Linked DNA regions of Rattus norvegicus. The protein of the gene in region 1 binds, or shares a complex with, the protein of each later gene. Links are inferred from orthologs where the notes say so. Each region holds a gene or a part of one and is shown in the gene's direction. Other genes may lie near its edges.

Evidence for each region.
Region 2: the proteins of Insr (region 1) and Grb14 are in contact, whole or in part, in a crystal structure (PDB 2AUH), measured with the Homo sapiens proteins. The link is inferred for Rattus norvegicus from reciprocal best matches to the Homo sapiens genes INSR and GRB14. Residues at the interface, in NP_000199.2 of Homo sapiens: Leu1065, Arg1066, Ile1069, Glu1070, Lys1112, Arg1116, Arg1163, Met1180, Arg1182, Tyr1190, Lys1192, Gly1193, Gly1194, Lys1195, Gly1196, Leu1197, Leu1198, Pro1199, Val1200, Trp1202, Ser1207, Leu1208, Lys1209, Asp1210, Gly1211, Gln1235, Asn1242, Glu1243, Leu1246; in NP_004481.2 of Homo sapiens: Glu373, Asn374, Ser375, Leu376, Val377, Ala378, Met379, Asp380, Phe381, Ser382, Ser386, Val388, Ile389, Glu394, Val398, Ala399, Glu401, Glu402, Gly403, Leu404, Trp406, Arg407.

What each region holds. Positions count from the first base shown.
Region 1 is NC_086030.1:5,994,230-5,997,184, reverse strand, and holds the end of Insr (insulin receptor preproprotein), read left to right. Parts: intron 1-892; coding exon 893-1,247; 3' UTR 1,248-2,143; downstream 2,144-2,955. UniProt on the Homo sapiens protein: Receptor tyrosine kinase which mediates the pleiotropic actions of insulin.
Region 2 is NC_086021.1:69,990,738-69,994,561, reverse strand, and holds part of Grb14 (growth factor receptor-bound protein 14), read left to right. Parts: intron 1-882; coding exon 883-993; intron 994-1,182; coding exon 1,183-1,278; intron 1,279-3,824. UniProt on the Homo sapiens protein: Adapter protein which modulates coupling of cell surface receptor kinases with specific signaling pathways. Binds to, and suppresses signals from, the activated insulin receptor (INSR). Potent inhibitor of insulin-stimulated MAPK3 phosphorylation.

The sequences.
Region 1 (2,955 bases):
GGGGTCTTTAAGCCTTGAATGACCATTGGGTCTCTGCAAGTCGCCCCAGGTAGGAATGATCACAGCAAATACCGAGGCGTCAGAGACGGGGGACACATATTGTGCTAAGTGATGTACGTTCAGTGTCTGAACAGTTTCCGTCCTTTCTTTTCCCTGTTGTCATAGTGAAACCAATTTAGGGGAGGAAGGATTTAGTTGGATCACTGATGGGCAAGTCAAAGTAGGAACTCAAGCAGCTAGTCACATCACGCCCTCTGTCAAGAGCTGAGGGAGATAAGTGTGTGGAACGGTGCTCGCTTGCTCTCGACACTCTCACAAAGTTAGGAACCCCCTGCCCAGGGTGTGGTGTTATCCACAGAACTGGGTCTTCCCACATCAATTAACAATCAAGACAAACCCCCCAGAGGTATGTTCATAGCCCAACCTAATCTAAACGTTTCCTCAGTGGGCCTCTTTTCCCAGTTGACAGCTTCTTGGGCTCCATTATGTGATTCCCCTTCCCATCTCTTTCCTTTCCCCTTCCCCTTCCTTCCTTTCCCTAATATTTCCTATCTCCCCTTCTTTTCTTCCTCTCCTCTGCCGACCTTCTTTCTCCAGTGAGCTTTGTCCCTCTTGGTACTTAAAGGCACCGGTCTCACTAAGGTGCCCAAACTGGCCTGAAAGTCTCTCTAACCTGACAAACCTCGAATTCACAGTCCTCCCGCCTCACCCTTCAGAGTAGCTGAGATAACAGGCATGTACCACCCCGTCTGGCTGGCTCGCTTTTCAAAACCGGCTTTCAGTCCCGCTAGAATTGTTGATCCAGCCTTTACTGTCCGCTCTGCGTACAACCACAGCCAGGGCCAAGGCTCCCCTGACTTAAACGTATCCGCCCTGGTTCCTGTCTCCACAGCACTGACCTGATGCGCATGTGCTGGCAGTTCAACCCCAAGATGAGGCCGACCTTCCTGGAAATCGTCAACCTGCTCAAGGACGACCTCCACCCCAGCTTTCCGGAAGTTTCCTTCTTCTACAGCGAGGAGAACAAGGCTCCCGAGAGTGAAGAGCTGGAGATGGAGTTCGAGGACATGGAGAATGTCCCCTTGGATCGTTCCTCTCACTGTCAGAGAGAAGAGGCTGGATGCCGGGAGGGAGGGTCCTCTCTGAGCATCAAACGGACCTATGATGAACACATCCCCTACACCCACATGAACGGGGGCAAGAAGAATGGGCGGGTCCTCACCCTGCCGAGGTCGAACCCTTCCTAACAGCGCCTGCTCGCTCGGGGAAGGATTCTTTTCTTTTCTTTCTTTCTTTTTAAAAACTCTTCTGTAGTTTGACTGCCTCCAGGAAACTCAGGATTATCGGGACTCTACCCAGATGTGAAACTGAGCTCACAGATAGTTCGTACACATTTCTGTTTGTCTTTGGACCTGAAAACACACAGGTGTGGTCGCCAACCCTGCGAGCCTGTGGAGGGCTAACTGTGAACCTAGAGGGGTTGGGGTTTCCATACTCCCTTCCCTGCCCCCACGGTATCAAACCAAGATTTTATTGTTGTTGCTGGTGTTTTCCTCATAGATTGGAAGGATGAACCTGTTTTTACAGTTTTTTTTTTCTGCTAGTGTCTGAGTTATAGTTAGTTGTCAAAGACAGACTTTATTTATGGAGCACAAGTCAGAAAGCAAAGAAGAAACAGACAGAAAAACAAAACAAAAACCAAACCTGACCTACAGAACCCAGTTCTGGAATTGCGTGCTTTCGCGGGGTTGGGCTTTGAGAAGGTTTCATTAATCTGAGAGAAGGAGCTTATTTTATTTTAGTTTTGTTTTGTTTTTTTCCTCATTCACAAAATCAGTTCCTCAAATTGACCAATAGCTGCTGCTTTCATATTTTATTATTTTGGGAAAGGGTGTGTACTCCTAAGTGTGTGCTCATCTGCACACCTGCGTGCATTTGCGTGTGTGTTGTGTCCAGGTTAGAGATCACAGGGTGGGGTGGGGGCTGTGTGTATGTTACATTTTTCTCTGGACTGATGCTTGGTGACTTGGCTCATGAAGCACCCGCTGCTTGGAGTGGGTGACCTCATATTGTCCTCTTCCTTCTTATGAACCGAGAGCTTGTGCCCTCGAGAGATTCTCCTCAGTCACGTCAGAACTCGCTCAGGTGTCTTCTTCCCCTTCCCTTTGGTGATGATTTCCAAAAACAGAGGGATGATTATTTGGTCTGGATTCATGGAGGATCTTTGGAAGATCAAACAAAGGACATGCATGCACGGGCGCACACACACACACACACACACACACACACACACACAGATACACACACAGACACACACACACAGACACACACACAGACAGATACACACATACACACACACACAGACACACACACAGTAGAAGGAAGTAAGGCAACAAGTTTGAGAATATATTGGTAACATATTTAAAGCTTATGGGATCTTTGAGATGAGCCTAATAAGTTATTATTTCCTTGGGAGCAGGGGAAGTGGTGGGCACATCTGCCTGTGTGGGGAGACGGGACAATACATGAGTGGCCTCTGTGTTCGGTCTTTGAAACACATGTTTTGTTTTGTTTTGTTTTTTTCTGGGAATTATACCACATTAGCTGCTAGCCTTTTAGGACTCGGTGAGTTCTTGTGGATTTGTGGGTAACTGGATTTTTGACTGGTTCAGATAGTAACACTGACTGGATGTTCCTTGCTTGGATACACTGGTGGTTACCTGGGGCCGAGGTGGCCTTCCAGAACACCTGTGTTTGTCTGGTTTTTCTCTGCTTGTGTACCTCACTTCTTCAAAGCCTACACTTTGCTCAAAGATACTGAACTCAGATCCCAAAGACCAGTGACACAGTTGGACTCTGGGAACACTAAGCAGTGTCTGAGGAGGTGCACCTTCAAATCGCTGTCGGTCTCCACCTTTGGGGCATCTGGCTATTCTCCACACTAAACCCCACCCC
Region 2 (3,824 bases), on another chromosome or scaffold:
GTGCACTGCTGCCGAACACTGTGTAGAGGAGACCATTTAGGATCTTGATAAAATGCAGGTATTGGTTCGGTGGGCCTGGTGTGGCACTGAGACTTTACCTTTCTAACAAGCTCCAGGTGAGACTGGTTCTGTGGTTCAGTGCCCACACTGCTAGTCGCAAGGTTTCGCATTTTGGCCAGTTTTGATTATATAGTCAACCTCAGAATTAAGCACTTCTCCAAGTTATTAACCTATCAGGTAGTACTATGACCCAGTGATTTCCTATGGCCAGTTCCAACTCTCTCAGGTTTTCCAGAGAAGAAATAGCTGCTCGTGATTTCCCTTTGCCCTGACAATCAAACGCATTCCATCCCAGGTAATTTCCCTGAACACTTCCGAGCAGCCTCCTCTCCTTTTGTGGAACAAGATGGCCACACAGTCTGCTGTCAGCACACACACATGTGTGGGGTGGGTGTATCTGAAAGAAGCAGGATTTTCTTCTTCTTTTTTCCATCTCCTTCTCAAGAACCAACCACTCGACACTGAGATGACAGAAACGCTTTCAAAAAACCCTTGCAGGCCTCTGCTTTTTTTTTAGTTTGACACAACCATTAATGAGAACTGGAAAGTTAAAGTAGGAATTTGTCTGTTATGAGAAGCAGAATTATAAACTGCCCCTTGTCAATTTAAATGAAATTGTATGCAGCTCTTGGTTATTTAAGAAAATGGTAATCCCCTTTACTCTTGGCTTTTCTTGTGACACTACTGTGGAATTTTGCTTGAGGTCGCATTATTTTTGGCTGAGGTATAAATTGTGCAATATGAGAAACACAAAAGATATTGTGGAACTGTGCCTCCAAGTCAATGTCATTCACATATTATTATTATTATTATTTTTTAAAGGAACCACGGCACTTGCAGTTTTTCAGTGAATTCAGCACTAGTAATGTTTACATGTCACTGGCAGGCAAAAAAAAGCATGGAGCGCCGACTCCCTATGGATTCTGCTTTAAGGTACAGGCTTAATGTTCTGCGGATGGGTAACGGAAGGCCTCAGCCTCTTAGGGAAGCTTGAGTTTCTTTTGATTTCTTTAAAAGAGATAGAGTTCTCTTATGTATAGGAGAATTTTAGTGGCTTTTATTTCAACAGGTGTTGCCTTCAAGATATGCATTAACAATTAATAATGTGCTGTGGCCTTCTAGCCTACCAAAGCAGGAGGGCCCCGGGACCTGAAAATGCTGTGTGCAGAAGAAGACCAAAGCAGGATGTGCTGGGTGACCGCCATTAGATTGCTCAAGGTAATCTCTCAAGGTGGGTGGGTGCTTGTGAACTGCTCTGACATCCATAAGCGTTTAAAGACACATCTCCTTTCCAATGTGAAGATGTTCCACTCGTCTGTGTGGCTGTAAGAGAGAAAGAAAGATAATCACTGCTGTCTTTAGCCTAAGAGGTGAGCATGCAGACTGGAGCGATGTACCCTAACCTGGGAGTCTTTTGTGGGGGAAGTAGGTATTCTGTTTCTAGAAATGACTTTTTATTGTTGGTCTTGTATATGTAGCTTGTGTAGCTGAGTGATGGGACTCCTGTACACAACTTAGCCGTGTTTGTAAAATTGCCCCAAAATCACAGAGAATTGTATTTAAAAAAATTTCCCCCTTGGATATTGCTAATTAGAATAATTTTACATTCTCTCTCCCCCTCTCCTTCTCCTGCTCCTGCCCTCTCCCTCTCCCTCTCCCTCTCCCTCTCCCTCTCCCTCTCCCTCTCCCTCTCCCTCTCCCTCTCTCTCTCTCTCTCTCTCTCTCTCTCTCTCTTCCCTTTGAGAATTTTCTACATCTTTTGATCACTTGATTGTTTTCTCCATTCTTCCCCCTGACACACCCTGCTTCCCTTCCAACCCACAACTGTGTACATCTCCCTGCACCCCCCAAGCCCCCCCCCCCCCGCATCCCCGCACCCCGGTCCATAAAGCCAGTTTCTTCTCCGGGAGTGTTCTTAGATGTGTGGCTTTCCGCTGAAGCGTGGTCAACACTCTTAAACAGCACTAACCGCCCCCCTCTTCCAGCAGCAACTGCTTTATTAGCTGCTTTGCAACTTAATGAGTGCAGCTGAAATTGGGGCACACATTTGGTTTCTAATGTGTTTTTGAAGCATACCTTGTATGCCATGTTGACATTAAAATTTTGTTAGTATAATTTTTTGATGACATTTTTTGAGGAGTGTTGGTATGTTCCAAAGGTAGATTAAAAAATAGAGTGGACGCAGACTGGTTTCTTCCAAATTGTGTTGGAAACACATACGTAGGAGCCATTACAGTGACTCAAAAATAAGAGAACTTGTCCCAAACATAATGACCTGAGTTTGACACCAGAGACCCAAAAAGTTGTCTTTTACCTCCAAAGGCATATGCGAACACTTGCCTGGACTCATGCAAGTGCAAACACACAATAAATAGGTAAAAAATGCAAACAATAATTTTTAAAAGCACATTTATTTTAAAGTGTTTATTCCAGTAAACTTGCTACAACTTTGATTTCCTAATTATGGAAATGATCAACCATTTCCTTTTGAAAATGCTGCTTTGTTAGTAATATTTGTGGAAATTACCAAAAAAATTGTTTTCATTGAAAAAGGCACAACCCCCAGACTATGTCTGCCTATGCGGTCAGTTCTCCATGGCTACGGAGGTTCACAAATATGTGGATTACTACCGTTTTTAAATCTTTCTGATGAAATGGAAGTTTCAACATATTCTGAGACATTCTTCACAATTCATACTTGAGAACTGTGTATGATTTGCCAATGTTTAAATCACATGTATTATGTTAATTATGTACCACATGTGATCATGTATCATGGCAATTTATATATTAGCAGAGAAAGATTTAGATAAGTGTATATTAAAACCATCTTTTTGCTGCATTCAGAAATAAGCATTAGAGAAGACCTAGACTTGTTTGGAATGTTTAGTGTCCCCATTTTCTTTCTTCTGTGGCAGAAATGCAAGAGGAAGCTTATTGGCTTCCCTCTTGGTTTACATGTAGAGTATGTTCTGGGACCTGTGTTAGTTATGGTGTTCTTACTATCTTTACTGTGTTAACCCTTTCCTGAGAGTGAGATAGGAGTGAAGACAACAGAGTAGAGAGAACTGGGTCGTGTCATGCTAGGTGCAGAAGGAAGCTTTATTTTGTAGTTTTCAAGATTTTAATTGAGTTCATCAAGTTATCTTAATATGAACAATTTATGTTTCATGCATTCAGTATGTTGTGCAACCATAACTTCCCTTTGGGTTTAAAAGAAGATAGTGTTGTCGAGAAGGAGTTTCTTGCAGGCCCTGATAGCCACTGATCTGAGCTGTCTTTATGAGTTCACCTATTCCGTGAGTGGAATGATATATAAACTCCTCTACATTGGCATTTGTGTCAGAGACACAAGAGTCACTGGAATGTGGTGACTGGCTGGCTTACCAAGTCTACAAGCTTGCAGTTCAGTGAGCAAGACATGTCTAGAAACAAAATGGAAACTAATTGAGGAAGACTCAGGGTGTGAACTCCTGGCTTCCAAATGCGTGCATGCCCACATGTGTGCACTCATCTACATACAAAATCACACAGACACATGAACATACACACTGACCTAAGCTGCACAGGAGAAATTCTTTTTTTTTTCTTTGGAAAATACTCTAGTTATATAGAGGAGTATAGAAAATCTGAAGCTCAGAAAGGAGAATCATTGCTTTCTGAATTGTTCTGTATCCTGGTTAAGTGTCAGTTCTTTCTGTTCCCATCAATTAGAACTCGGCCAGCTTCTCTCTAGCCTAGTTTGGTGCCTATCTGCCCCTCCA